Linked DNA regions of Coturnix japonica. The protein of the gene in region 1 interacts with the protein of each later gene in a pairwise test. Links are inferred from orthologs where the notes say so. Each region holds a gene or a part of one and is shown on either strand. Other genes may lie near its edges.

Region 1 (16,209 bases):
TTACAAATACTGAATTAAGTGACTAATTATTACAATGGGACAACTTATTGATACGGATAATATTAAGACATTTCTGTAAAGCATTAGATGTGAGAGCCCCAGAGTTATCACAGTCCATCCCTGAAACAGCTGTTATCAGCACACCCACACACACAGACACACATAGATCCGATTAAAAGAAAGGGAACAGAAAAACTGCTATCTCTATTTGGATGAGTTATACTTTGGTGTCTCTATCTTCTCCAGTCACTAACAACACAGATCTCAGGAAAAAAAAAAAATCACGCCTAACATGTAGCTAACTGTAAGTACTATTTTACTATTGTGATGTGGAAGTTCAGAAACCTTCAATGACATTTCGTCCAGCAAAATAGTGATTGTATTCACACGTATTGTTTAGATACAAAGAATGAACAATGAAAATAACACTTACCGAAACAGAAACTGTCGGTTAAGGTTGGACACATCTATAGTATCCATGTCAATTACATGGATCTGCCTAAAACCAGACAGTGCCTGTGAAAAGAGATAGGCAACCTCACTACATAAGCAATGAAAAGCTTACAGTGCTGCAAGATTCATTCTGAATGCCAAAAAGGCAACCTTTGGAGGAACAAATGTAGGTGTTCTTTGTTCCCTGTGCAGATCAGCATGTCAGCTCTCTTTGTTGAAATGCTGGGTTGCTAACGCTGGTATTTGGACAGATGGAATTAGCAACATTTCAGTTGTCAAAGCACTGGCTTTAGAGAAGGGAAACGCTTTGCAGTGTTCTGAAGTGACATAAAAAATTGAGTCCCATGCTCTACTCCCCCCCCACCCCCCTTTTTTTTTTCTTTCTATAAAGACTCAATCTTGTCACATAAAAAACTTCAAACTTCTTGTTTGATGCTTTTTCTACATCCCATGTGTAATAACTGCATTAAATGCTGCACTGTGAAACTGATTAAACAAATGAACAGAAAGTAGCCTCTGGAAGAAAAGCAGTAAGAATTTCTGTATGTCATATTGCGTATCTTTAGTGCTGAACACTCATTTAGTTCACAAATCACAGTTCAGTTTTTGCCCAGTATTATCAAAGCAGATCAGAAGAGCCTAACAAAGAGAAGAGTGGGCCCAAAACATGAGGAACAGACACACTGGAGCCCTTAAGATATTTTTACTGGTGTTTCAAAGACACTGAGTACACGTGAACATCATCTAGACTTAAGTATGAGCATTTCTTTCTGAAAATTATAAAAGTAAATCACAATAACTTAAAATCTTTTGGAAAGGTGGAGACTGGGCATACATGGCAGATTTATGAAAACCCTTAACACAAGTCCTTCCTCATAATTAGCAACAGAGTGAATTTGTTCTTCTCCAATAAGCCTACAATACAGCAGCTCTAGTCAGAAGTTTAGTTTACCAGCACTACATTTTCAAAGAAAGAAAACTGCTATGTAGTTTTCAGTCTCTTCAAGCAAAATCCTGCTTAAGTAGAACGGTAACAAAGCGGTGCCAGAATAATATTACTCACAAGTGCTGGAACTCAAAACCCTAAGTTAACTTATCTGGAATGCCTGACTTCACATGAGGTGAATGATTTATCCAGCACCTCAAGCTTGCAGGTAATCTGTAGTGTAGTGAAATAGCAGTAAATAAAAACCATACTAAAATGAATCAACTCATAATTGCTCATATAGAAACTGTACTTTGTAACAATTTGCTATATCAAACCACACATTTTCCATGTAAACAAACTGTAAGGACAGAAGTTTTTACTGTTGAAGGAAGCAGGTGAATTACAGAAACTTAGTCCAAACTAAGTGATGGTAAGCGATACATTACAACAAATAAGAAAGGCCATGAGGAAGAAAATAGAGTAATAGAAAAATTAAACTCATACATACTTATTGGGTAAATGTCAGATAGCACACTATCCCATGGCTGCATTTTTAAACACTTAAAAACTGCTTCTCAGAGCTTGTAGAGAATCCATTACAAGCTAGCACTGCTGTCAAGAAGAGTACAGTAACTCTGCAGTGTATTTTCTTTGGTCTCACACCTATTCCTCCTTAGCCACTTCCATATAGGATAGCGCATGTTGGTCTGATGGAATAAAGAAGCTTTTTACACAGGCTGAATTCAGCAGCACTGATGCAATCCTGAAAGAGTCCTAAAGATTCTTGTTGAGTCTCTGGAGAGAAGCTCATGTTTACTGAGAGCCACTACTCTCTGGATTCCAACAATGAGGAGGAGGTCACCACAGGCACAGTAAGACTGGCTCTATTACTTTCATTTTTAAAGATCATAGGTCCAGCATTTCCAGCCTCTCTTTGCATTAATCCAAACACATAAAAAATTAAGTTAATCTTTGGCTGCTAATGATAAACTCTCTATTAGCCACTCTTTGTATAGTTCATTTCCCAGGATCTCATAATTGGGGGAAGGCTGAGGGAGTTGGGTTTGTTCAGCCTAGAGAAGAGAAGGTTGCGGGGTGACCTCATTGCAGCCTTTCAATACCTGAAGGGAACTTACTCCCAGGAGGGGAGTAAACTCTTCAAAAGGGCTGATAATAGCAGGACTAGGGGAAATGGTTTTAAGTTAAAAGAGGGAAGATTTAGGTTGGATGTTAGGGGGAAGTTCTTCACTAGGAGAGTGGTTAGGCCCTGGAACAGGCTGCCCAGGGAGGTTGTGGATGCCCCGTCCTTGGAGGTGTTCAAGACCAGGTTGGACGGGGCCCTGGGCAACCTGATCTAGTAAACGTGTATGTTTGGTGGCCCTGCCAGGCAGGGGGGTTGGAACTACATGATCCTTGAGGTCCCCTCCAACCCGGGTCATTCTGTGATTCTGTGTGATTCTGTGGGGAAAATACCCAATATTAGGCCCTACCTAAGGCTGTAAATAAACATTTTCCTGCACTTCATACACAGCAGCACACTGCTCCTCAGGAGAAACACTGAGAGAGCTCAAAGAAAATAAGTACACCTTACACTACCACCCTTCAAGCTCATTTCAAGGAGTAACTAAGATCACAAGAAAAGGATGAAAACTGAGTAATTACCAGGTTCTTCAGGAGTTCACATCCTAACCCTCCTGCTCCAATAACTAGTACTTTACACGTGCTTAAAAGAAATTCAAGAGCCTGTGGAAAATATAAAACAAACAAACAAACAATTAATACATCATATAGGAAAAGGTACCATTTGTCCTTTGTTTCATACACCTTACAATTGTGTCATCATAAATTTTCAGTGCACAATAAGCTTCATATAAAATAAGTTAGATCAATAACATAGTTTAAGCTTGCAGGAATAATTATACTTGGACTTTAATCAGTTGTTAAGTTCATGTAATTCCTGTATCTCTACTTAAAGGAAAGCGAGTCTGTTTGCTATCAGTATTCTCTTTGAATTAATTTGGCTGTGAAAAAAGAAAAGCAAGCTCCATTTTATTATTACTCAGTTTAAGGACACATTTCAGTTTAGTGTTTTTCCCCCAAGCAGCTTGCTTACATATAATACAAAATAAACAGATAGAAAACATTGCTGGCCACATAGTTTTTTTTCTATTAACTACATTATTAGACTCTATAGTCAAAGTAGCATATAATGGAATGGTACATTTAAAAGGTTAAACACATTCAACTTTAAGCTTTGAAACAAAAGGTACCAAAGCAATGAAAGGAGAAGAAAATTCAGAGAGGCAAAATTTTGCTTTTCCCTATGGAATATCCCAATTCTCCAAGTACTCATATTAAGTTTAATTTCTTAAGTACAAGGAATTCTTTACTGTGCCTAATTGTTTAAAAATCAATAGACTAACACTATTTTTCATGTGAAACTCAAAGATGGAGAATAATTATTACTGTGTATCATAGAATACATTTCTACACATGCCAGCAAGTTGACAGTTTACAATCTAGAAATAAAAGTATATGAAAAGAATATGACACACTCTTCTAATATAATCACATTCACCAATTGAAATACATGGTCTTCACATAGGTTTACTGTTCATATACTGCTGGTAGTCAATTAATGAAACCACTGACATTAGTTTCCAACACACAATACAGTTGTTTCTTAATTTAAAGTAATTGTTTCTCACTTGAGTGCCTGGCTCGAAATCAGGATGTGTGAACGGTCCAGATCGCTCGAGGAACTTCTTTACATGGTTCCAGCGACCTTCCCAGTCTCCAGAGTCCCCATACCCACCATCAACAGCCATTCTGCACAGAACACAGTAAATTCAGCTGCAAAACCATACAGAAATAGCCACACTTCTAAAACGTGCTCTTTTTTTTTCTTGTATAGGTTAAAAGTAAAACACTGATCAGCCATGCAAACGGATCCACATGTTTATGTTGATCACAAACACGTGTAAGCCCACATCTGCAGGAGTGGGCTTCATCAGTGGCCCCAGTAAGCAGTAATACAAACATGCAGCAGACAAAAACTGGCATTTCAATAAATCCCACTGATTTTGCTGCTACTAGTAAAAGTTGATCTGAAGAGAAACGAAAAGGGTGAGCTCTTTTCCCTTTTATTTCCCTCACATTTTAAGAGAGCATGTAAAAAGAGGCTGCCCTTTAGATTTTGAGGGTGCTGTTCCCTCAACAAAGTGAACAATCTTCACCTGCCATGAGTCCCATGTATTTAAGACACTCTCATTTTCCACCTGTCTCCTGAGCCTGTTAGTAGTTACTATCTAACTTGAAAAATAAACTTGCAGTTTTCTTCTTCTAAATTACAGATACAGAATTTTACACGAAGTATTCCCAGTACCTTTTGCAGGTCACTTTTAGTAGTACACAACTATAAAATTAAACTGTTAAAAGACTTACTAGAAAAGCTCAAAATCAGCTCACTTAAATAATTTCCTAATGTAACAGCACCTACAAGGAACAAGCCTTTCCTTAACACAGCACACCTCCCTTTTTAAGTATGAGCTCCACACATGAATACAAATGACTGTTTGCTCTATGTTAATACAAAACTAAGCTGGTTATAAATGAGCTTAGAAAGGTTGGATCATCATCGATAAGAAGCATTATTTGGTTCCTCCTATGAAGAAATATGAAGAAAGTCTATATCAATAATTGTTGATCAATGTTTAGAATGTATTACTTCCTTGGGTCACATCTAGACAGTGAATCTCTTGATCCTCACAGAATTCAGATGGAGACAGAACAGCGTCTGTGATGGCATTAACTTCTAGGTCATAGTTTTGCAAAAGGTTTTCAGTAATGGGAGAAAAAACTTAACTGAAAAACAACAATAAACATATTGGATTCTGCCTGTACTTTGACCGCTGATTGAACTCCATCCTGGTCAACTGTTGGCTTTACATAGGTTAACCTAGCAGTTAAATAAATTCTTCATAAGGAGCTTAAGTACATAGAGGATATTTTGATCTGTATCCTGTGTTTCCCACTTTGCATCAAAGTAAGATTTTAGGAAAGCAGGACAACATAAAACTCTTCCTCCACTGAATCACAGTCTCAGCTGTTTTAAAATAGGATGTTTATGAAACAATAACTTCTGCAAATGTAACATGGGTGATTATAAAGCACAATAATTGCTTGTATGGATTTTATCTTGTTCTGGAAAGAAGTGCAGAAGTTAAGTCTGGTGATACTACAAAGGATTCTTTAATCCTTCTTTTCAGGCAGTATAAACAGCCACCAAGCAGCTGTAGTTGTCTGTTTAGATGTTTATTTTTCTTTTTAGTGGTAAGATGGCAAGACCTCGTCTCAATTTTGCGAATATATTAGCTTGGTTTTTACAGAGTTGGACATTGTGGAGACCTGAAAAACACCAGCAACTCAACATGAGGTGTTACGTTTAGCTTTAGAGACACGTTTATTCTTGTGTTGTTACAGCACAACCAGGCATTCACATTATTAGAATTCAACAAAACTTGCATGTGTTTCAGTGAATTTTAGATCTTGTTCAAAACATCAGAGCACCACAACCCTTCTAGGCCCACACTTTTCCCTGCCACCTTCGCACACCCAAATGCTCCATGCTTGTGCAGGATGTGGCATGCACCCCACAACCCACATGCCTCGGGGTTTCTGTGACCCTCACCCCAGCACGGCTCTGGGAGCTTTGGGAAGAGGGCCACAAGGAGATGGAGGGGAACAGTCAAGGGATGGAAGCATATGAGGTCAGAGATTTCTGCATGTTAGTTTTTAAGGCTGAGCAGAATTTAGAGCTTTAAGAAGCAGAAGCAGCTGCTCTGTAGACTGAAATATTCACTTTGGGCTAGTTTTGAATCACCTGCTCCTAGCCTAGCAGCTCTGCCAAGTCCTGGCCAGCAGCAGCTCTCCCACTCCTGCCACAAAGCTCTCAGCACACCAGCCTTCATCATGCCAAGCTTCAAGCCCGCAACCCACCCCCTGCTGCGGGTGAGCCCCTCGGTCCTCTCCCCAGGAGATTCCTCTCCCCCAGTCCTTGCTGCTCAAGCGCCCTTTCACCTTCCCCTGGCTCTCTCTCACCCCCTCAATCTTTCTGCTCCCAGGACCCATCTCTGCGGCCTTCACAGCACAGCCCAACCTCTCTGCGGGGCTGCGGCTCCCCTCACTGCCAGCCGCCCTTCCACAAGCGCTGCCTGCTTCTATCTCTGTCCCTGTCTCTACCCTGGGCCGGGAGCCCACTCGCCCGCAGCCCCGCACTAACCCATCCGCCAGCAGCTCCTCTAGCCTCCTTCTTTTCTTCTCCCTAAAAGAGAGAGAATAAAAGAAGGGTCAGTATCGCGCTACACAGACCGGGGAGGAAGGAGAGGGGACCCCAGGGCCCACCCGTCCCCGGGAAGCGTGGGGAAGGGGCTGCCGAGCACGCACATACAAGGCACTTACGGTTCCTCACCATCCGCCATATTTTTTCCCTCTGCTTCCCACAGTGCCCCGCTCGCCGCCGGGCTCCTGCCATGCGCGGCGCCATCATGGGCGGTGCTATGGGGGCAGGGGGGGATGATTCCTTAGGGCTTCTGTGTGTGATACACAACATAGGGTAAAGGCAAACATAGAGATAGCTTTAGACATGCCTCCATCAGCCAGCTCTGTCGTGTCAGCTCCTCTCTCAAGTATTTTCTGTTGTCTTCCCATGGGAGCGCATAGAGCTGCACTGCACACAGGGGTCTGTCTATATGCAGAGCGAGGAGCGCTGCTGGAGCTGGGAGGTGGGAAACAGACCGTGCAGCGCTCATAGAGATCGTGATCATGGCCTCAGGCTCCTGAATGCACCCTGAGGAACGCGAATACTTCGTAGATTGAGAAGCTGCCACAAGCCCCAGACGTTACAGCCACACCTGCATCAGGCATGTGTGCTCAAGCCACGATAAATGAAGCGTAAAAACACTGAAAATGTCCTAACGTGAGAAGTTAGAATCATCACAGACACTGCGGTTGGAGGATGGAGGATTCGGGGTGCATCCACCTCAGTGTGACCCGAGGCTGTAGAAGCCCCACCAGCCTCATTGCCGGGGATGCAATCCGGATTCGGCGTGACATTTGTGTAGAACGAGCGAACAGAACGTACAACCGCCGGTGACGAAAGCACCGTACAGTGCCGGGTACGCGGAGATCTACGTGCCGGCCTCTCCTTTCCCATTTCCCCGCTGCCCGGAGCCGCCCCGGGGCGGTACCACGAAGCCCGAGGCCTGCGCGGCGGTGGGGCGGGGGCAGCAGCCATGGAGGTGCAGGTGGCTCCTCTGCGCTCCTGGGAGGATTTCTTCCCTGGTTCCGATCGTTTCGCCCGGCCCGATTTCAAGGACATCTCGAAATGGAACAACCGGGTTGTCAACAACCTGCTCTACTACCAGACCAACTACCTGATGGTGGCCGCCGCCGTCGTCGCCATCGTAGGGTCAGTGTGCGGGGGGGGCGGTGGGGCTGATACTCCCAAACGTACAGCCGCCCTTGCTTTGTGTTGGGTGGGGGCTGGCTTATTTAGAAGGTTATTTTGACGTGGTTTTTAATTCCTCTTGTGGCTGGGTGGCAAATCTGGGAGCTGCCTTTTGTTTCTCGGGGTGCCTGGCAGAAAGCAGCGGTGGGTGTGGGTGCCGGATGTCACTGTCTGCTCTGCGGCGATCGCTGCTTCCTGCCTTAGTCTGCCCAGTGTGGCTGTCAAGGGGAGATAAACTTCACTCTGAATTCCAACAAATGAGGAGATAAATTCTGCTCTCTGTTACATCTTTAAGCCTACGCTGAGGGGACAGAACAAGCCTTTCTTATTTCTGACCTAGTGCAGATTGAAAAGCCTTCAATATAAAATAAGCACGGTACCCATCCATCTTTGTGAGACCGAGACCTTCGTGTCTCATGTCAGCTGTAGATTCCCTAGGGAGAATTGGGAAAGAACCTAATCATTATTAGAATTAAAGCCTGTTTGACTCTTCTGTAAGTGCTGCTTTAAGATCAAGAAGCTCTTTGTCAGGAGTTGCAGCAGAGGCTGTGATGATTAAGCTTTTAAAATGGAAAATGAAATACGTTTCCTACGCTCGTCACCAAACAATGTGCAAATGCTTAAACCGGAGGATTGCCTGGCCACTAGGCCAAAGTGGTTATGGCAGAAGTATATTTTATCATATGTGTTGCAGAGGCTTAAGTTCTTCGCCCTATCCTTTTGTGTATGTGTGTGTGTGAGTGTGTGAAGCAATCTGTAACTTTTTAGGGCTGCTGACGTTATTGACCCAGTGTCTGAGTCAGTGAAGAATCTTTGGGATCAGGGAGTTTTGTCCCGTGCTTTGTGAAAGGAGAAGCTGAGAACCCTGCTTTTTCCCTATTTTTTGCTGCATATCAGCTAAGGGGCATGGGAGATTTTCTTCTGAATTTTGGTGGAGATCTGAGCCCTCTACTCAACCCAGCAGCAGATCATTAGACAAGTAAAAAGAGATTTCCAGACCCTTACTCTCTTTAGAGGGAGTCTAATCTTCTCTATCTACCTTCATTTAGTAGTGTGATTACCATAACCAGTTCTAAATAAGCAGGTAAATTAAAGCAACACTTGAAGGCAGGAGAACAACTCATCTACCCCAAAAAGCTGGGAGGAAAAAAAAAATGAACAATTTAGTTATCCTCAATTGGAAAATTGGAATGGTAGCAGCTTTTACTCCTACATTCCTTCCCCCTTTTATTCTCTGATCTCACATCAGATCAAGGGTGGTGATACATTACCATTTATTTCCCACCGTTTTGCTGAGGTGGTGGTAGGGAGGAGAGCCACAAAAGGCAGAGATTAATACCAGAATTGTAATTCTAATGTATTTATATTAAATAGTAACCTGCTATGTTGAAAATATACAGGCAAGAAAAACCTGGAGTGAATTTGTTTTATTGCACATTTTAGAGCCTTTTGTATGTGGCAGACCTGCTTCTTCAACACTGAAGAAGAATGGGAGAAGAACTCTAAAGGAAACAGGCTAGCACTTCAATAAAGAAAAGCTATCCATTTCTTTTTAATAAAAGATTTTTCTGTTGGCCGAGCTGTAGCTTTGGGAGAAAAGCCAAGAAAGGTGTCCCAATTAAATTTACATTGATGTCTAAGATGCAATCTTGCACTTCACCCTCTAGTGGGCAGGAATCCTTGGGTGATAAGTGATGAATCATGGCTTTTTAGGAACTCCAGGACTGCATGTAGGCCTACAGGCAGGATTACTGAAACCAATAATGCAGTGGTCTCTGTGATCAAAACTAAACTTTGCCCATGACCAACTCTACCTGTTCTTAAGCCACCTTAATTATGCAGACAGGCATTAGATGCAGAGATGATATTTTGACTACTATAATAGCGTGGTAGCTGTGGTAATGCTGGGCTGAGATGGAAATTGTACTTACAGTATCAAGAAATCTCTGGGCAATGGTGCTTATTGCTGTGGCATAATTTACTGCCTCCTGGACAACAGAGTTGACCTCTTCAACATATCACCATCTCCACATCTCTTTATGGCATGGAGTACCTTACTGTGAGTGAGGGCCTTTCTTACTCTGAGCTAGGGCCTGTCACTGTGGGAGGCACATGCTTTGGCACAGTGTCTTCTCTGCAGCCTGAAGTTCAGTGTTGCTTTCCTTTTGCACCCTGCTTATTTAAACATCTACTGGCCATCTGCATAGCACCTGCAATGAAGTGCATGGGTGTCTTTTTCTTTTGTTTTTCTTTTAATTCTTTATTTCCTTTCCTCCCCAGATCACTGTCTTGGCTGACTTGCTTGTAGTTAATTCCCTTGAGAGAGCAAGGATCGCAGAGCAGCAAAATACTCATTAGTAGTTTCTGTAATGCCTGATGAAATATTCAGAAGCATGCAACACACTGCTCCAAAACTCACTGCTGCAACGTAATGCTACATAACTTCATGAAGTGGATAAAAACTTCAGTTTAAAAACAAACATACAAAAACCTTCATAAAGGCACAGCCATTCTGTGGAAAGAACTCCCAACTCCTGTTCTGAAAGCAGCCTGAGTGAGAATCAGTATGTAAAGGAGCCTTGCTAAATCTGTGGCTGCTGTGCTCTGTTGCCTGGCTGTGCACAGATTTGTTAGTGACAAATCAGAGGACAACATGCCATTCATGGGTTTACACTCTACCTTCAGGTTTGCTGTATAACCTCACTGAACCCAGAAGTATGGGGAGTGGAGAAGCCGAACTTGGTCTCCACGTTGTTTCAATTAAAACAAATGAGGAAGGCAGCAGGTATCTGCTCTCGCCTGCTTACTGCTTCCAAGGTGTGTTGATTTCTGGGCTCACACTGCTGGAGGTTTTCTGCCTTGAGCAAAAGACGAGTCTTGCTTAGTTCTTTCTCCCTATGCTGTAGCTGTGAATTCTCCAGGCCGGTGGTTGTGGTTCTCTCTCCTGCTAGAAGGCTGAATGCGGGAAACTAAAGAAATATCTGCTTTTGCTGTCAGAGTTACATAGTTACCAGTACTCCTCCCACACCATTGTAACCCCAGCCCCTCTGCTATCTTCTGGTACAGCTTCCAACTGATACAGTATCCCAAGGCGCCCTCCTGCAGCCAGAAAGAATGTTTCTTCTAATTGTTCTTATTTTTACCCCTCTTTTTCCTCTGTATAAAAGTAATTACAGTAGCAGACAAGTAACTGAAGGTGCTTACTGTTGCCCTGAGACACCGGTAGCACTAAATCCAGGTGACATTTTTCATTGCCAGTTGGTCACTGCTGCTTTGGAGGCTGCAGCATCCAACCAGGGCTGCATCTTGTCTTCCAGAGGGAGCAATAAAGTAGAGCATCCCTTTAGAGGGCTCTGAGCTCGAGGTTGTTTGCACACCAAATGTTGCTCAGCCCTGCCATACTGACTCCATTCAATGTAGTGAGAGAGAGCAGTTCTCTTCCTCAGCACCCAAAGAGTATTTCTTCCCTTAAGATATCTGAGCAGCCCAAAATCAAGTTACCACAACTCTGCCATGCTAATAGTTCCATGCATTACATTTTTAAGTATTTGAGAGGTCTTACAAATCCCTCCTGAAGAGAATTATTTTTAGAAAGTATCTTATTACATACTTAATGGCTGGCCACTTACCTTGTCTCAGCAGCTTTGAAAGACTCCCAGCCTATTTCCCAACCATTAATTCTTTATGTTGTGTTCTGTTCTGTCTATAAATGTGGCTAATATCAGTGCTGATGGCTCAGCTATGAAAGGACTTTCAGTGTTGCTATACAGCTCTCATTTTCCCCCAGATATGTGTTCTAAAAACTGTGCCTGTGTTTTTAGTTCCTGTTTAGTCTCTAGCTGTCGTGCTGCTGAGAGAAGTGTGCCAGCAGCTCTGAATGAAACTGCATAATGGAGAGCTGACCCGCTGAAAAAAAAATGCCATTGCTGGAGAATAGATATCTATATATAAATATCTAGGAGAACTTTGCTCTTGTGGTGATTCAAACAGTGGAGGGAGCTTGGCATGTGACACCCTATCCAGTACTGTAATCAACGATACTGAAGCCTGTGGACACATGGCTGATAATCTGAATACCAGTTTTTAGTGGCAACTGCTATCCCCCATCTGTTTTCATGTGGCTCTGAATGACTTCATTTGATACTTATGTTCACTGTTTCCTTGTAAGCATTGGAATGCAGCCCACTTGAGAAAACATGTAATTCAATTAACTCTCCCCAAGAAAAAGGGATCTTTTGAATGTATTTTTTTTTTCCTTCACATCCCTGACAGCAAGTCAGTAAAACAGATCCCACATAATAACAGAAAGAGCATAAAGCAGAAGGGTCTGTCTTTTCCTTACAAGCACAGGGTTTTCACCAGCAGTTTCAGCAGCTGTAATGAGAATGAGAGGGAGGATGGGGAAGATAAAGCCTTGGGAGTATTTACCTGACACCTGGAAAATGTAGCATGGAGCTCTGCCTGGCTCTTTGTTCCTTCCAGGATTATTTTTTCAGTGACTTTTTGGGAATAAAACCAAGGATTGCTGTAAGTAAGTCTGGCCATTTCTACTCCAAGCTAACAGTGATGCCGAGATGATTTCTTCTTTAAGAATCTCATATGTCCAGTTGTATGTATATAAACAGGATACTAGCGTGGTGCAGTCACGAGTCACCCTCCTTTGGCTACAATAGAACACAGATGAAGCTGATTTCTTTCCAGAGCAGTACTGTTCACTTTTTCCAGCCTGGAAACTTAGGATTGACAATTCAGAGCTAAATATAATCTGGCTGGCTGCAGGGAGTGACTCAGATGCAACAAGCGAGTCTGCCCTATCGCCATTTCCAAATAGCCATGCTGGCTCTTCAGCATGAGTAGCAGAAGCAGGTGGGGAGCTAGTTTGGATTCTAATCTCTTTTTATCCAGTTGTCCTGTCTCCTGTTGGCGCAACTGACTTACAGAGTCTAGAGCCAGGCTCTGAAATCATTCTGGGGGTTCTTTGTTCTCTAGGGAAATGCTCTCTGGCATTGCAGGTACAGTGTTGACATGCCAGTCCAGAAAGAGATTTCTTCAGCTTGTGCCGGATATGAAGCACAGACCACAAACCATAGCATCCTCCTCAGCACTGGAGTAGAGTGGTGAGTCATTGTGCCCATGACTTTAGAACAGTAAGTCTGACTGCAAGGTCTATGGCAGAAAATCTTTCCTGCTTTACAAGAACTGCTGTCATAGTGGTAGCAGCTCAGAGCACTCAGCTGCTGTATAATTAGGGCTGTGCAAAGATAAGCAAGTAAATCAGAATGCAGAGGATGCACAGAGCTTATTTCGATAGAAGTGAAATATAGTTGAGCCTGGCTTTTGTACAAATACAGAAACAAGCTAAGCAGAGTCATCAGTGAAAACTGAGGACAAAGCAACCTCTTAAATACTTGGAAGCAGGTGATGTTCTCATCCTGGTCCCAAAAAGGGACTTGCTGTTTATAGTCCAGAGCTGATCCACTCGGTGGCTTGGTTTGCTTGGTAACTCCAATAACAATAATAGAACACAAACCTCAGCAGTCGCCCCTTTGCCAGGCCTGGCTCTTCTTCCTGCAAGACCTTTACCCCACGTGTCCAGTTCCGTCTGACTCTCAGACACTTTTGCTTGGGTCTGGGCTTCTGTGTGTAGCACTGATGGTGGTAAGCTCCTGCAGGTTCATAAAGTTACCTTAGTCAGGTTAAGAGGGATAATTCAGAGATAAAGGGCTATGCAGAAGAGCAAAATATTAACACATTTAAAAGAAGAAATCATGGGGTGAAAGTCTTGGCTCTAACAGTTGTTTCAATTTTGTATTCTCAGGAGTAATGCCTGCTGGGGAAAACCTTCCTTTCCTGTCACCTACCCACACAATGTATCTTAACTTTAACTTAAGTTACTTCAGAATCTAATGTTTGTTTGGCAAGGGAGTTAGTGTAGTAGTTTGTATCAGCATCATGGTATTTTCTAAGATCTGCTGTAGTTTTTCTTTAACTGTAGGCAATTTAGGTAGCTGGGCATAATGAACATTGCCTTCTTAGTGTAGCAAATTGCCAGTAAGTTGCTTCCACATGCTGGTTTTGACATAAACACCATATGCCAAATTTGGTAAGTATCAAAGGCATGAACAACAGTGAACTTTCTATACTCAACATTTCCCATGTGTTTTGCCCTTTGTAAGTCTAGACAAGATAATAAAATCTAGTTGGTCTGAACATCTAGGCTGAGCTGCTTTTGGTAATGTGCAGGGGAAAGATTCACCGACTTGGAGCGTGATACCAAGCAAAAGTATTGATAGCCTAAGTGGGAGTCAGCCTGGTGCTAAGTGTGTCTATTAACAATGCGATGCAGAAATTCTCATTATCCTCAGCTATGTTCCAGAAGAGAACATAAAGACAAAGATTATCTAAATGCGCTAATTCATGGCTAATTCAGGTTGCTTGTTCATTTGCTTTGGGGTAATAATGAGAAGTCAATAAAGACTTTTGCAACAGTAGCTGACTTCTTAATGACTTAGCTAGCTATCTACCTACCTAGCAGCAAGCTGGATGTTTGCTGCATGGACACTATTGACAAAAGCTCAGAAACAAACTTCATTTTCTCTATTCTTTTTTTGTTTGTTTGTTTGTTTGTTTCTCTTGCCTCTTTACTCCAGATTTCTCAGTCCCCTGAATATGCTCATTGGTGGTACCGTGGTGGTCCTGGTGTTCCTGGGGTTCGTGTGGGTATCACACAATAAGGATATATTGCGCAGGATGAAGAAGCAGTACCCAACCACATTTGTGATAGTCATCATGCTGTCTAGCTACTTCTTGATCTCCTACTTGGGAGATGTCATGGTGTTCATGTTTGGGATCACTCTTCCTCTCCTCTGTAAGTATTTCTGCTCTTCTCTGAGGGCTGAACTGAGCTTTCTCAAAGAAGTCTTGGGAGACTAAATTGGCTAATAGCTGTATTCTGCCTTTAGTTGTCTCAAAGCAAAATCAAGTCTGGGGGAAGGGTACATGTAAAACATCCCAAGTCATCTTCAGCATTATTATTATTGAATAGATACTTGCTGTTACTGAAGCCATCATTCTGAGATCTTCTGCAAGCCAATGCATTCACTGGGAGTTACTGATTAATAACCGTGTTTTTGTTATGCAGTGATGTTTATCCATGCTTCTCTGAGGCTCCGGAGCATAAAGAACAAGCTGGAGAACAAAAAGGAAGAAATGGGTTTGAAGAAGACCCCAATGGGTATCATACTGGATGCTCTAGAACAGCAGGAAGAGGGTATCAACAAACTGGCTGACTACATAGCTAAAGTCAAGGAGTAGGCAACTGCAACATGGTGTTTTTACCTGTTGCAAGAGTGTAATTGCTATTTACTATTGTTCAAGCTTGCTTTCAGTTTGTGTACAAAAAACAAGAAATGCACATGTGGTACAGATTAATTATTGCAGGATACAGTATTCCAAGGAATTCAGGGCTCCTCTAAGACTATTAAAAGAGTAACTTTTTTGTTGTTGTATAATTAAATGTTCTGGTGTTTACACAAATACCAACCTAAACATATTTCCTTGTCTCTTCTTCTTGGTGGGGAAAAAGGGAGAAGAGATGGAAACCTATGGAATGCAGTCTCTTAAAATGTCTTGCAGCAAATTTGTCTGTTAGTAAGAGTAACACTCCTTTCATCTCAGTTCTCCAAGAGGGCAGTTTAGCCAGTTTGTTATGCTGTGTAGCAACTTCATGCTGGCAGTCTTCAAAGTGAGCTGGAACGTATGGAAAGTATGTATCTCTTGCATCTTCTAAACCCCTAACTCCGTTGGTCTTGTATTGAGACCATGTTGCTAGCTTAACTGGCAAGTGGTCAAACTGTGCAATACCTGTAACCAGTATGGGTTCTGTCCTCACCTCACATTCCTCCTTTGGTAGCTGGGAAACAGTCTATGTAGATCTAAGCATGAAGAGTATATATGGCACCGTGCTTCTCGGTTCCAATAAAACATAACTTTGTGCTCCTTGAAATCTTCATTCTGTTGATCTCTAGAAGCTGCTCTTCTCTGCAGGAGAGGCAGAACTTCTTCATGTAACTAAAGCCAAGCATGGGAGGAAAAAATGTTTTTGGATAAGCTAGATGAATTAGGTTTCTACCCTATTGCTGTTTTTAAACACTGCTACTTTAGGACTTACCTTGTTCTGCTTTATTCTGTATCAGCTGTTTTGTAGATGAAAGTGTATGTATGTTTTCATGTGTGGTTTGTTTGGGTTTCTTCTTAAGCAGAATGCAAAGATTGAAGTAAAACATTACTGACTCTAGTGCTGACAGTCTTCAAAAGAATA
Region 2 (15,681 bases), on another chromosome or scaffold:
CATTTTAAACAATGGTTACGAATCCAAATAACACAGGATTATTTAAACAGTTCACATTCAGCTGTCTATTTTAGAAAGAAAGTGAGGAAAATTGTGATTTTTGTGAAAAAATATCAAACACATTACAAAATTACCATGCAGAAGAAATACCTTCCATCAGGATAATGATGTTCATTATCCTAATGATGATTTGCAACAACTCTGAAACAAAATTAACATATTCCTTTTAGAGTTCTAACAAAATCTAGACCAACCTGTCTCTTTTGATACCTGAAGCCTTTTGTCATTACAAAATGCCCCTTGACCTCTTCTACCAGTGTATAATCGTTCTTCAGTGCAGTGGTAAATTACACCAAATTCAAGCTTTAAGATTTTGAAAAGGAAAGAAATGAATGCAACTCAAATTACTCATCATAAATATAAACAACTACTAATGGCAGAAAGATCAGCAATATTTTAATTGGTACAGGTAATCAAAGATTATACTGATGCTAATAAACTGGAATAATTTTACTATTACTGTTATATTTGAGATATAGGTCATATAAAATTCAGTTTACAAAGAGAAGTCAATGAAATCTGTTCATGATCTTCTAAACTCTTACTTGCATCTTATTTGCGTTCACATTACAATAGATTAAATGCTAAGCTGATTTCAAATTCAATAAAATGTTTCTACTGAAAATAAGCATAAGTTCTTTACAGCCAGATTCTGAAAGCTTTGGTTTTTTTCCCACTGTCGAGCAGTTATGCCTAGAAGAAGTCCATTAACTTTTTCTGGACCCCAAAAATTTGCAACCCCAAATACACAGACATGATCAGTCAGGCATATGAACTCAGAAGTCAGGGTACACAGTTCACTAACAATAGATACTTTTATTTGCATTTCACCTTTCATGGGCATTTAATTTGCCTGCCTTTTCAACCAAAGAAGTGCCCTACGGTCACTTTTTAAAATGTCTCTCTACAAAATTGTTTTCTTTAAACATAAAAGTGAGAGTTTCATGAAATCACGAGACTCAAAAGGGGTTTGAAGTAAAATATCAAATATTCTTTGTCAAATCTCTCAGTGAAGGCTTGAGAGTAATTAACACTGGATTCTTTCTGGGAATATCACTTCACCAATGAGAAGAGGGCCCCAATTTGAACCTTGATTTAAACCCAATGTATTTAATTATTTTAATAGATTTCATCAAAAGATCTTGAAGGATTTTACAGACTTAAATGGTCAGCTCCTATAATCAACCCTAGATAAGTACTACTGGCTACATTCTATTTAGAAGTAGACAGATACACAAGCACTAAGTGACTTGCCCAGGGTCACAGAAGTTGGTAACAAGACCAAGGAAACATCTCAGATGTTTTAGACCACAAATCTTTTCCTGCCACCCTCCTCCATTCAAGTGAGTAATCTCTGGTCCCTCCTCAGGGACAATTCAAAGGGAATAATCTATAGTCTGTCCTTGCTCCTTACCCTGAGGTCCCATGTAAACCAAAGATTTTTATTTTTTTTGAGGGACACTATTAATAGACTCCTTCCCTGAAGACATCTACAAGAATTTCCTCAGTGCTGTTCAAGGCTTACATTCAGGCCAGTTCCCCTGTGCGTACTTTGGCTCCTTTTCAGCTTACTCATTTTTTGTTTCTGTTTTTCCCATTTGTTTATAGAGGGAGTTTTAACATCATTCTTTATTTTTGTTTCAGCTTTGTTTAGTTTACGTAACCCAAAATATGCAGCATCAAAATCACGGTGGTGTTCTAGAAAACATAAATATTAGAGAACACTGTCTGGTAACAATACATAGTATTCAAAAGGACCTCTGGGAATGAATAAACTTCAGAAAAGTATGGAAGTGTTTCTTCACAGTTGCCATGTTTGAAAAGTCTAACCAAAGAAGTACACAACATTATTCTGTTTGAATCCATAAGCGCTGCTAGCACATCTCAAAACTATGTTATTATTGCACAGGATTCTTGCTGACTTCAGTTACAACGATATATTTATTTGAGATTGTGGACATAGGCTGGAAGAGGTACATTTCTTGGCAATTTGAATAGCTATTTCTTCAGTTTATATCAAACTGTAAAATGGCAACATCTGGAGAAAAGCCACCAGCGTGAATGAGTACATGGTTGGACTAGATGATCTTAGTGGTCTTTCCAACCTTTTCCATGATTGATTCCATGATCTAGGAAACTTAAAAAGGACAACAAATATGAAGACTAGGTACTTTTTTTTCCCCCCCCGCCTGTAATCAAGCTCTCATGAGGGAAATACAGTCATTTTACTGCATTATGAAAACTTCAAAGGCAGATAAAGTGATCTAGGCCCATAATTTTGCTCTCTTCATAGAAAGCAGTTCCAAATTGCCTTATAGTAGCAGTTAGTGTTCACAGATACTGCTAGCAGGAAAGAAGCAATCATAATCAACAGAAGAACACTGGAAGATAGGGTTAAATTATGAATATATATAACTTATCAGGCTTTTGTCTTATGGAACCTTCCTTACACCAGCACTTCCTTTTTAGTCACATAAATCCTGTAACATTTATAATGATTTATAAGAATTTTCCTGTAAATGCCAGTTTGCATAAGTGAAGTTTCGCAAGACTGGGATTTTAAGCTAGCAGAGTATGACCAAATGTATTTTAAAAGCATGGGAAAGCTTGAGCAATGTTGGATTTATTTTTTAATTTCCCACTTGGTTTTGAGGCTTTTAACCAAATCTCAGGTATCCATCCTAAATAACAAACTTCATACCTCTTTGTTAACAGCAAATCCAATGCTCACTGCCACTGTTGGAAATCTGTGAAAAACAAGAAATGAAGTATTACTGATGAAAGTTCTCTCAGCTTCATAATTATGTAGCTCACTTGAGCAACAAAACCCCACCTGGAGCTCAGTACCAAAAAAGCTCTGATATTATGCTATTTCTCCTTCGTCAGTCCAAGAGACAGGTCAGTTTAAAAACTGATCTAATGTTTGAAAATGCAAGAAGTAAATACTTAAAGACATTAGGATCTTTATACTAAATGTGTTGTATATTTTAATAATATTTTTGCTTCAGTTTAATTGAATTGTCCAGTGCTTCTATAGCAAGTCATTGGTTTTTAAGAACACATTTTGTTCCAGTGAACTGAGAAGGTGAGGTAGGATTAAGTTGCAAAAAGATACCTTCTGCTGACATCAGCATAAGAAGAAACCTGTTCCCCTTCCCTCTCTTTTGCCAAAGTGATGGTCATGTATTTAATTTACTCCTTTTAAACATGTGTTATTGTTCTTTAAATAATGAAATAAATTTATTTATTCAAACATATTTCAGAAAGGGTTATGAAGATCCAGAAAATATTGCTAGAAAGAAAAAACTTGCATCAAACAGCAGCATATAACCTCCCCTTCCTTCCCCACTTGAATTCTATACAATGACACCAGAAGATAAATGCTTTTTCTTTCCCCCCTCAAATTATAACCACAGTTACATTAAACTACTAACTTTAAAGCAGAATATAATTCAGTTTTTTAAGTAGAAGTATTACAAACAATCATAGGTTTACAACTCCTACCACTCAAACGAGGAAGAAAAACTTTCTTATTTTTGCATAAATGATCCCTAGGTTTCTTATTTTTACAGGGCAGTATTACAGGAGACTTAAACCACCATCTACCTTTAGCCTAGTTTTCAACTAAATACAGCCTAGTTTTCATATGCCATGACTGTACTTCCCAGGAAAAATGAAGCACTTGTATTTGAAAGGGAGAACACACCACTACAAAAAGGAATGCATAACAACCACATACAGAGTAAGGCCAAATGTCATCATAGTACAGCCTTGTTTCTTTGGTTCAGCTCAAGTCTCTACATGTTAATGTGTATTATATATAAAGGAGCTGTGAGTCAAGAGCTTCTAGGTCATTAAGCAATCAGAAGACATATTATCTTGCCTTTAGAAAACAGTACAGTGCTCTCTCCAGCACAAACACACACTCCCATAGATAAAGCATAAAACAACAGAGGGATGACTCCTACTTACGTGTCAGAGGAACAAATTTACCACAGTAAAATGCCTTCAAAAAGAAGGGAGGATTTGTGAGAAGCTGAATTTTGTCATTTTATGTGTTTCTCACTCCCCTGCCAACTTACCTGTGTACGAAATTGCAGGTTCCATCAACAGGGTCAATAATCCAGGTAGGACTGTCAGTGAGGACACATTTGGAACCAGCAGCAGTGGATTCTTCTGCAATAAACCTGCATTGAATGGGGAATAAAAGTCTCAGAAAACTTGCTCAAACATGCGACTCAGTAAGTTTAACTCCATCTTGCTGTCTTTTGAAGAAGTATTTAGTTTATAAATACATACGAATGTTATATACACATGCTCATATATATATAAAATTAATATATACATAATACAGACATGTTTCGTTTTTTAATTGAGAATGGGAAGCTTTCAGATAAACTTTAAATGAAAGTTCTTGACTTCTTAGCATACTATTTCATGTGGTAAAAAAGAACTCCATTCACATTTTTCTTAATACGCTATTAAAAAAGTAATGAAAATTAATGCAGAAATTGATCTAAATTGGCACTCCTGGAACTCTAAAGGAGGTTTCTCTGTAGAACGTAAATTTATGGTTGAGGTCTGTCTCTTGCAATAAGTAATATAAACTTCAAAACGTAGCTGCTTCTCACTGCAGTTAAATTCAGTCAGCAGGAAGTAATGAACTCCCAAGAATCCACAACCTGACTCCTATTAGACTCTTTTTAAAGTAGTCAGAACCAGGAAATTAAAAAGTTTGCACAGTTGAACTTTCTTCTTCCCATGACCCAGAGAAAATACATTTTTTAAAACATTTTATTTATTATTATTTTTTTTTGTATGCACAAGTCACACACTGAAATTTGAGCTCATCTTCTTTCCCCATTTCTTTCATATCAATGCTTTTTTTTTTTAAATCTTTCTTCCCTGGGAAATGAACATCCAGTTCTGGAGTATTTCCTGCTGACCTTAAGTATCCTTGCTCTCCCACAAACTCAGTGCCTGTTTTTGTAAGAGCTGTGCAGGTTGCTACTCTCACAGATTTGAATATAGTTCTATATATACAGAATGTGTAGAATTAGACTGCTAACACTGAATCTCGCTTTTGGTTTCACACTTGCTACATAAAGTTGCAAGAATGAGCTTCAAACATCCTGTAAATGGCACATATGGAGAGTTCTTGAAATTTCCATGTGCTATTTTGCCTTTTCCTCAGAAGAAAGGGACTATTTTGATGGCATTATGGACCCCCATCTGATATAAGAAGGGAAGCAGCAAGTGTTTGTTGCTATTTCAATCTCCATTAAAGAGAACAGCTGAGGGACACTTTAATTGTTAGTGTGCAACTAGAAAGCCAGAAAAAACTTAAACAAGTGTTCTCAGTCAAACACAGCACGTTACAGATTCCTTGCTCTCTGTATTCCATTGTTTTGTCTCATTGATATTTTTTAACATACAACCATTTTTAACCCCCACCGTAAGCTCAGGCAGCACTCCTGGCTGCAGATAAAACCCATCTTCCTGCAAATGGACGATGTGGAAGCTGGTCCTCTATCACGCACAAATCATGCCTCTGTTTCTACCTCGGACAGATCCTTCATTGTAATCACTGTCTTGCCAGTCAAAAGGAAGGTGAAATGGGATACTCTTGAAAAACAAGTGTATTTCTATAAGGTGCTTTATCCTTATGTATCTGGGTGACAAGTCTGTCCCTTCCCTTTCCCCTACAGTGGACTATGATGTTGCAGTCCTCAAGTACAAAGCCCTAACATGAAGCTAGGGTACAGCAGTACCACTTCTAAGTACTCGTGTACAAGGTCAATTTTCCATTATGGCTGCTGGACAAATTAGGTGCACACAGAATCACAGAATTGTAGGGGTTGGAAGGGACCTCCAGAGATCATCGAGTCCAACCCCCGTGCCAAAGCAGGCTCCCTACACCACGTCACACAGGTAGGCGTCCAGGTGGGTCTTGAATATCTCCAGAGAAGGAGATTCCACCACCTCCCTGGGCAGCCTGTTCCAGTGCTCCGTCACCCTCACAGTAAAGAAGTTCTTCTGCACATTCGTGTCGAACTTTATGAAATTTTTGCTAGCAGGTAAAATAAACCAGTTGCTGCTACGCAATACTGGGTACTGTGATTGTTCCTAAAGGCTAACATCAGATGTATTGCTCTATAGATCTGTGTCCTGTAAGAACACACAAACAGAGTAAAACATTCAGGCTGAAGTCCTAAATTCCAAATGTTAGGCATAGTTTAAGAAGTGGGAGGGGTAGCAATGTTATTACAGTAGTTAATTTAACTTGCCAGCCTTTCAGCTCTTTTGACCTCTGTTCAAATCTGGATTAAAGTTTTCTCCCACGGAAAATGAGTCTGGTAATTTTATCCTAGCCTTAGTGGACATCTGTTTGCGCCTCAAAGCCACTGTGAAATTCAGTGCTGGAACAGCAGGGAAGCTGTAGCACAGTACAAAAGGGGCAATATCCATTGGAACATTGAAGGCTCAAACTGGAGCTGCCCCTATGGGAATAGGGTCTGAGGGCAAAATGCTGGTAGACAGGGTTGGATGTCCAAGTTCTGACTGGAACAGCTCCAGGATTAAGGCCACAATTGACACCAAAGATGACAGCTTGTGTAACAATAACACGGGCAAATGACACAATAACATTTTTCAGCCAGCAGTCCATGATATTCTAGCTCTGCCTATCTGTCCTATGAAGATCTACCAGAAAAAAAAATAAACATTTGGGAATATTTCCTTGGAGCATTTCAGAGCGCCAAAGAGAATGAGAGCAAAGAAGAAAACTTGGTTGAAGCATAAATGAGAATGATACATGTCCCTTGGCGAAGCGGAGACAAAACAAAGAAATATAGGATAGAATCACATTTTTAACAGGTTTTCTTAACACTTCTCTACTCCTGAGTACATTTCCAACATACTGGGATGTATCACTGCCATAGCAAAAATGGTATAAATTTCAACAGGATCTCTTCCAGGTTTTTTAACTCCCAGGATATATTTCTCGAGTCAGAGAACATAAGAATCAAGATAACTTAAGGGAAGGATGACTCTATAAGGAGAATCAACAGAAACTTTCATTGGTGCTTTCAACAGCTGGATTAGGGAAAGACTGAATAGTTTAAGTGATCTCTTGATGTTTTCACTGTACTTCAATTTAAACCTTGATTCCTTCTGTGGATTCCTCGTTGCAAGTATCTAAATTTAGTCTTCTAAATCTAGTTCTAATCTACTGTTTAATCTAAATGCATTCGCTGTCTGAACAAACTCCAAACAAAAACAACCACCACTATCAGCAAAAATGAACTGCCTTGAAGAAACAGCAATTCCTTTATTTGCCCATAGCAAGCCCTTTATTTGCTTCTGGAGTCAGAACAATGTTGCACAGAGTTAGTAAAAGTTAGATTATTTTCTGTTTCTTGGTCTGCTTTGACCTTATAACTTTTGTTTCCATTTTGAGTAACTTGAGCGCTACTGTTGATTCCAGTTTCATGCAAAATGTGTATGTTTTATGTTCTCTGCCAGGCAGTTCAAGGAAAGAAGAAACAACAAACCGTGCAGAAGAAAGAAGAGCACTGCCAGCAACAGTAGATGGAATATTACAGAAATAATAGGCTTGTAAAGCCTGGCACTCTCCAGAGAATCGCAGCCAAGAACCACACATTGTGCTGTACAGTACTGTTTCGATATGTGATCACATACACCATGAATTCAGAAAGCCATATTTAGTATATAATGTTCTTTCTATTCATTCTTTCCTTTTTACTTCTTGTTATTTTCTTACAACAGCAGAGCCAACAAGCAGATTAGTAGCTGAACCCTCTAGATTCTCATCTTTGTTGATTTCTGCACAGTACTAGAGCGCAAGGCTCTTCTCCATTAGAGATGTACACAGTTAGAAGGAAGTCATGTAGCAATCAAGTGATACATAGGCTCTGCAGGCAGATGGATTTTAGGCCTGTGTACCAAAGTCAATTATGAAAATCAATGGCAGCGTCTGCATCGAGCCAAACCTGACCAAGTAATACAAAACTGCTTTCTCATCTGTGCATGTGCTATGAAGAGGTAATTTCAAACTGACTTTTTAAAAACAGTTTAGCAATCACAGAATCACAGAATGACCCGGGTTGGAAGGGACCTCAAGGATCATGTAGTTCCAACCCCCCTGCCTGGCAGGGCCACCAAACATACACCTTTACTAGATCAGGTTGCCCAGGGCCCCGTCCAACCTGGTCTTGAACACCTCCAAGGACGGGGCATCCACAACCTCCCTGGGCAGCCTGTTCCAGGGCCTAACCACTCTCCTAGTGAAGAACTTCCCCCTAACATCCAACCTAAATCTTCCCTCTTTCAACTTAAAACCATTTCCCCGTGTCCTGCTATTGTCAGCCCTTTCGAAGAGTTCACTCCCCTCCTGGGAGTTTCCCTTCAGGTATTGAAAGGCTGCAATGAGGTCAATCACAATCAAATCACAATCTGACCTTCAAGGACAGAATCTTAAAATTCCCCTTAAATGCTTGTCTGATATACAGCTTTTATAGGAAAAATGGTCATTCATTGTTTTCTTCTACAGATACTTACCTGTGGGAGGGAAATTTCTCTTTCAGAACAGAAATAATCAAATTTTCCACAAAATGATCAGTCTCGGTGACAAGATCTGCTGCAGATGTCTTCGTGGACACTTGTTTTTCTTCTGTTAGAGCTTTCCTAATAATCTGAAAGAGAAGTTCATAGATCAGTCTTCATTGCCATTTATCCTGTGGACACTAATGTGATATAATTACTAACGCAATTATAGCTAATCCTGAAAAACAATCACGGGTCTAATTATACCAGAACCTATTCTAGCTCTTCTGAGTAAAAATCCTTTGGAGATAATGAGCAGCCTTTTGGAACACGGCATTTGCAGGAGCCTCTCTTGACAGTTCAGAAAGGGATTAAGGATTCGTAAAAGGATGATGGCAGTCGCTGTGATGTAGGAAATTACAGAAAACACATCTAAGATTAGAAAGAATCTTGAGGCCCATAAATTTTCACAGAAAGACATTTTTTTTCCCTAAATATACATATATAGATTTACAAGGCCAATAACTCACTGCTCTCTTACCTTAAAAACTATACAGTAAATCAAACTCCACCGTTTTCTTTTTGCCAACAAAGACATAATATTTAATTTTTCTCGTGTGTAAGACTGTTTGAATGTCCAAGTGCTGAGCACCCATTAGTCCCAAAGAATTGCTGTGTACATAACAAAAACAAAGATTTAGGCTTCTCCTCAGATATGGCACCAATGATCTAACTCTGGAAAAATCTTAATCTCCTTTTAAAGGGTTTTACTGCTATAAGCTCAGAATTAAATCACATCAGTAGCAAATGCACGTATGGGAACACAGTAAATAAAAATGTTTCCTCAGTTTTCCCATTTTCTTTCTCTCTTTTTTCTTCCCTTAACCTCTTTATTTAATAAACAAACAGAGAGAGAAGGAAGGGAGGAGGGGCGATAATGCTCAACTAGCAAAAGGAGCTGCCTTGTTTTTTAACCGGTGACAACTATAAACTCTTTGAAATTAGGAAAGCCAAAGCAAAGCAAAGATTAAGCACTGTTTATTTCTACACAGTTACATTAAATGAAAAACAGCAACAAGAAAACCAATATCCCACATCCCTTCTACAACACTGATTTCTTTAGTTACATTTCCACGGATCAACGTATTTTAAAGCTACCTAAAAAGACGTGTTTTAGGACCAAAACAGTTTTGCTTGTATTACATACAGGAAAGGAAACCAGGAACTCCCTAATCTCACTCTCAGCTCTTGGGTTTTGTAGTCTAAAATACCACATATGAAGGAGCTTCAGATGGTTCTGACATGTAACTGACTTTACTGACTGCTGCTTTAGCATGGACTTGGCAAACGGACTGTTTCTGCTTCATGAGCTGTAAAGCCTTAATTCTAACTATTTATCCAAACCGATGAAGATAGATGTGAACATTTTGCTTCAAACTCTTGCTGACGTTCATTATTGTACACCAAAATATTTTATTTATTTTAATTCTCTCAATGCCGCGCATGTTTTTCTCGGTGCTTTAACCACATCACTGCAGAAGCACCACTTTAAGAAAGCCCTCAGGCTGCTCTTCAGTCCAAAGCAAAATCCAAAGTGCTGCAACTGTCTCAGCTGTGTTGTGTAACCTCCCTAAGAAACCTGCTATGCTCACGCTTTTCATTTTCATCCCTCCTCTTTTATATTGCCTGTGAGTAAATGTGTTGCTGGACTCTGCCTTTCCTAGCACCTTTGAAATATTAAGGCTTTGGAGCACAAGCCTTATGGGGGAGGGGGGCAGCTGAGAGAACAGGGATCGTTCAGCCTGGAGAAAAGGAGGTTCAGGGGATACCTTATTACTCTGTGACCTGAAAGAAGTGGTGAGGCAGTGGCACAGGCTGCCCAGGGAAGTGGGTGGGGGAGGCACTGTCTCTGGATGCGTTCAAGAACAGCGTGGATGTGGCACTGAGAGACGTGGTTAGTGGCCACGGTGTGACGGGCTGATGGTTGGACTAAGTCATTTTAGAGGTCTTTTCCAATCTTAATGATTCTATGATTAAATCATGCAACAGAGAATGGAAAGGACAGAAGGCCCAAATGCCTTTTCAAGCACACCTGCCAGGACAACCACCTACACAGGGTGCTCACATTACAGATCTCATCCCACTGTTCTACTTATACTCAGCACACTCTTCTGGGAGCTCCAAGACAGAATTACTTGCTTGCAATAATGTCCTGAAATATTTGCTCACAGGTAAAACCAAATGTCTAGATAGAAAGTATAACTACCTGCATATAATTTATGAAATAACCACCTGTTTGGCTAGAAAAAAAAATCAATGCTCCTTAGAAAATAGCCTAAAAGCAAAAATAGGGAAGAATGTTTGGAAATTTTGCACCCCCTCCCTCCTCTTTTTTTTTATTAAAGTGAGATTCTTCCGGGTCTCTCATAGAATTATTTTCTAAGTAAGAAAACAACTTCCCCAGAATACCGGTGGGCTTTAACACATCAGCTTCTCATTTCATTTTCTCCCCCTTCTTTACACCTTTCTGCAGATCATAGAATCATAGAATTACCCAGGCTGGAAAAGACCTTGAAGATCATCAAGTCCAACCGCAGCCTAACCAGAACCCTAACTCTAACAACCCTACACTAAATCATATCCCTGAGCACCACATCCAAACGGCTCTTAAACACAACCAGGGATGGCGATTCAACCACCTCCCTGGGGATGTACTGACTTTGGTGAAATTTCTCCAGTCGTAATTGCAGAGAACTGTGCAAATATTACCCAGTGCTTAGAATAGCATCTGGGGTTCAGAAACTGGTATTTGCTTCTCTTTAGCAGCAAGTCATGGTAAGCAGACAGGCGTACTTCTCACAAGAGTTTACTCACACAAAAAAGCAGGAGGAGGATGAAAAAAATCCAGTTCTGTGTGGCATAAGAGTGGATTAGACATAATTTTAACACAGGCCAATTACAGACATTACAAAACCTTGGCTACTGTCTTTGTGAAATAGCCATTTATATTAAAGGAATGCCTGGTACATTTCATAAGAATAATGGAACTTAGTAACAGGATGGGAAAAAGAAACAATAACCTCAGCCTGGGAATGGAAGTTACTCCAACAACATCACTTCTGAAGCACATTCAGGCAATCACCTATTTATTGGCCTATACAGCTTAGAAAGAAGTTTTCCAGAGCCTTGAAGGAAGATACATTTTACTTCCACTCCTGAACAATACAAACCCAACAGTCACATAAGCAAAAAAGAAGAGAGCAGGAAACCATCTTGCTGGTTGACTTTTTCTCTAAACCCCAATTTCTGACTTGCATGCTTTTCTTTGAGTTGGCCTCTACATCAAGACTCTCAAAGACACTTTCTAACTATCACAGAATCACAGAATGACCTGGGTTGGAAGGGACTTCAAGGATCACGTAGTTCCAACCCCCCTGCCTGGCAGGGCCACCAAACATACACATTTACTAGATCAGGTTGCCCAGGGCCCCGTCCAACCTGGTCTTGAACACCTCCAGGGACGGGGCTAACTAGAAACCTTCCTAACTTGCATTGGATTCCAGAAAATGAGGGTCTCAAAAGAAAGGCTGAAATGGGAAAATTGCATGCAGAGATGGATGGAGACAGCACTGAGCTCTGGGGAAACAGTGCAAATGGATCTCTAGTGAAGGCAGAGGTGTGAGGGACAGGAAGAGAAACAAAAGAAAAAGATAGTAAATCTAACCCCATAAAATCTAAGTTACACCCCACTTTCTATCCTTATCTCTAATTTCTTTTGGGAGTAGCAGGAACTGGAATGACACTTTAATAATATACTGTGCTGCCAATTGCAAGGTAGCAGTATCAAAGCGCAAATGAAAATGATGCAAACATCAACCACTGTGATTTTCCAGGTCAGCAAAGCAGTCCTGGCTATTCCCAGCATTTGGTATTTTGATAAATAAGGTGCAGAGGCTCGAGCAAGCCATGAGGAGCTCTCTTGTGAAATGGCTGGCAGAACCAGCATGCTGGGGAACTCCCCTCAGATCCTGTGAGAGCACAGCCTGTCATCCCGATTTGGATCATCCATTTACTCCTTGTGTTACTAAAACAAGTCTCCTCTCTCCTGGCGTTCTGTTCATCCCAGTGTGCGCGCATGTGTGTTCTGTGAGCGGGAAAACGTGTTTAATGACACATGCTAAGGAAGCATTACAGGTCCTGGCCTCAAGATGAAAATGGAGCTCCTTAAATAACAGCGCGTAGGTACAAAACACAGCAGAATGGAAGCAGAAGAGAAACGCACGCTGCTGAGCTTCATGTTCTACCCAGTTTTTCCTCTGAGCAGCTCGCTGACCCCACTTCTGGGCTCTGTTAGAGCTGGGGAAATTCTGCTGCAGCACACAGCTCTGTTAGAGCCAGGGAAGAGTGGAACACAGGGCCTCTCCTGAGGTGAGTGACTGCCTGCTGTAATGAAACACAGCAAAGCCTCTGCTGGGCTGCCCTGGTCAGTGAGTTTCAGTCCCTCTGAGGGCACCGGTACAACAGTTAGATGCAACCTCTCTGGCATAGCTATTTTCTTCTGCATGCAAACTGCTCAAACCCAAATGGTGGTAGAGTAATGCACGGCAGTCAGCATAAGCACACCACGGCACACAGCCTCAGCTGAACATACACTCAGCATTCAGCCTTAGCATCACACCACGCTCCGAAACGCCACAGCCGCAAGAATAAGTGCTTGGCGTTCGACTGGAAAAGTTACTAAAGCGGCAAGATTTGTTTTAATTATTATTATTTTTTAAATACGTACAAGTGCGGGGAGCCACACAGGGCCGCCCCGGCTGTTCTCAGCCCGAGGTGACCGCGCACGGCCCCCGGGTTCCCCCCACACCGCCCCGGGGCTGAGAGAGCTCAGATAGCGCCCGCCGAGCGCCCACACAGCCCTCCCTCAGCCCGCAACCTCCGGCTCTGCCTTTTTTAACGCCTAACCCCAAAGCGCACCTCCGCAGCCGCCCGGGAAGGATGCTACGGCAGCGGAGCAGCCCTGGCCCACCCCACCGCCCCTTCCCGGCCCTTTTCGGCCCCGTCCCACAGCGACGAAGCCCCGCGGGTGTGTAGCGCTCCCCACACCGCGGGGGGCGGCGGGGGGCGGCCCTCACCTGCCCGGCACGGAGCGCCAGCTGCACCGCCACCTCCGCGCACTCCTTCCAGGGGTCTCCGCCACCCGCCGCCCCCTCTTCTTCCTCCTCCCCGCGGGGTTTCATCGCGGTGGCGGTGGCTCCGCTGCCCGGGTAGGGCCGGGGTCGGAGGCCGGCTGCCCGCCGAGGAACGGCGCGGAGGAGGAGGGCGGGAGGGAGGCCGGGCCGAGGCTGCCGCTGTCACTCGGAGCCCCGGCACCGCCCCGCGGGGAGGACTGGGAGGAGGGAACGGAGGCCGCCGCGCTCGATGGGGAGGGCTGGTCGCGGCGGCCTGGCGCTAATTTTAGGTGAGCCCCGGGGGCGGATGAGGGGCCGGGGGTGGTGTGGATGAGAGCGGCAAGTAGGGCGAAAGGCGGTGGCGAGGTTGCTGGCCCGGTCTGCCCTGATCCGACCCGCCCGACATGGCCGCTGCGGGGCTGGCAGTGCTCGGAGCGGGCCGCTGTGCTGTGTGAAAACCGGGCCTAGTGGGCTGCCAGCCGCACATCGGCCGGGCTGTGCGGCCCCAGGCAAGCAGGGAGTGTGTGTGTGCTGCATGGGATTGTGCTGCTCTGGCCCGCCTATATGGGTTGGCTGCTGTGTGAGAAAGTGTGTAATCCTTAGTGAGGAGCTACATCTGAACAGGCTGGAGTGGTGGGCTGAGGCCAGTAGTGCCAGGCCTGCCCTTTGGTCACAGCAACCCTGTGCATTGCTAGAGGCTTAGGGATGGAACCCTGTACTGAGGAAAAGGATCTGGGGGTGTTAGCTGAACATAAGCATTGTGCCAATGGCATCCTGGCTTGTATCAGAAATAGCGCAGCCAGCAGGAGCAGGGAGTGATCATTCCTCTGTACTCAGCAGTGAGCACCTCAAGTGCTGGGCTCAGTTTTGGGTCCCTCACTACAAGAAAGACATTGAGGCCCTGGAATGTGTCCAGATAAGGGCAGTGAAGCTGTGAGGGGTCTGGAGCAGAGTCCAGACAAGTACAGGGAGCGGCTGAGGGAACTGGGATTGTTCTGTCTGGAGAAAAGGAAGTTCAGGGGAGGCTTTATTGCTCTCTAAAACAACCTGAAATGCGGCTATAGTGAGGTGGGGTTCAGCCTCTACTCCCAGGTAACTAGCAAGAGAACAAGAGGTTGTGAAAGGCCTCAAGTTGTGCCAGGGAGGTTCAAGGTGCGTATTAGGAAATAAAAATTCTACTCCAGAAGAGTCGTGTGGCACTGGAACAGGCTGCCCAAGGAGATGTTGGAGTCACTGTTCCTGAAGGTATTCAGGGGCTTTACAGATGTTTGAGTGATTCTAAATCTTCCTTATAGAGAAATATGACCCATGATGGATGTGTGCTTATGCAGTAGGGTATCCTGTCCTTCATATTTACAGTACCAGGTGAGCATTTGGATCTTCCACTTGTGTCAGCCCAAGTGAGGCTTTTCCAAGTGACTCGCCAAGTGACCTTGCTGGGAGAGATGTGCTAGGATGGTAAGTGAATAGACCAGTGAGATGTCATAAAAGTAGCCTGAGCTTTGGTAGCTTCTCCTCATGTCTCAGAGCCGCTACAGCATTTGGAGGCTTGCTGTGGTTAAGCTGCTGTATGAGCCATCACAGAAGGCTGAAATAGCAACTGAATGAACCCTCAGAACTTGCAAACTCATCTCAATTGTGGTGAAGCACTGGAAAACAGAACTGAAGAGCCAAGAGGAGCACTTAGGAAATCACTGACTGCAGCTAGTGTTTTAAAACCTTACAAAATACACTGCAAAAAACGATAGTTTCCTGTAAGCTTTATAAAGAAGGCTGCTATTTGCTGATGGCTGTTTTATTACTCCCGTTCTGAAGCTTTTTCAGGCTTCCTTTAGCCCAAGCCTGCAAGCAGTAGGAGCTTCTTGCTGCTGTGAGCTGCCAGTTG

What was found.
Region 2: the proteins of UBA3 (region 1) and IMPA2 interact in binary tests that used the Homo sapiens proteins (3 or more experiments, as listed by UniProt). The two-hybrid records come from large-scale screens. The link is inferred for Coturnix japonica from reciprocal best matches to the Homo sapiens genes UBA3 and IMPA2.

Annotation. Positions count from the first base shown.
Region 1 is NC_029527.1:12,736,561-12,752,769, forward strand, and holds the start of UBA3 (NEDD8-activating enzyme E1 catalytic subunit), read right to left. Parts: upstream 6,926-16,209; 5' UTR 6,862-6,925; coding exon 6,842-6,861; exon of another isoform or gene 6,829-6,841; coding exon of another isoform or gene 6,827-6,828; intron 6,705-6,826; coding exon 6,663-6,704; intron 4,211-6,662; coding exon 4,090-4,210; intron 3,125-4,089; coding exon 3,044-3,124; intron 517-3,043; coding exon 434-516; intron 1-433. Other genes in the region: ARL6IP5 (PRA1 family protein 3), read left to right, coding at 7,675-7,850, 14,540-14,757, 15,031-15,203. UniProt on the Homo sapiens protein: Catalytic subunit of the dimeric UBA3-NAE1 E1 enzyme. E1 activates NEDD8 by first adenylating its C-terminal glycine residue with ATP, thereafter linking this residue to the side chain of the catalytic cysteine, yielding a NEDD8-UBA3 thioester and free AMP.
Region 2 is NC_029517.1:87,668,103-87,683,783, forward strand, and holds the start of IMPA2 (inositol monophosphatase 2), read right to left. Parts: upstream 13,998-15,681; 5' UTR 13,866-13,997; coding exon 13,761-13,865; intron 8,775-13,760; coding exon 8,641-8,774; intron 4,248-8,640; coding exon 4,143-4,247; intron 2,808-4,142; coding exon 2,762-2,807; intron 364-2,761; coding exon 255-363; intron 1-254. UniProt on the Homo sapiens protein: Phosphatase that can use myo-inositol monophosphates, myo-inositol 1,4-diphosphate, scyllo-inositol-1,4-diphosphate, glucose-1-phosphate, beta-glycerophosphate and 2'-AMP as substrates in vitro.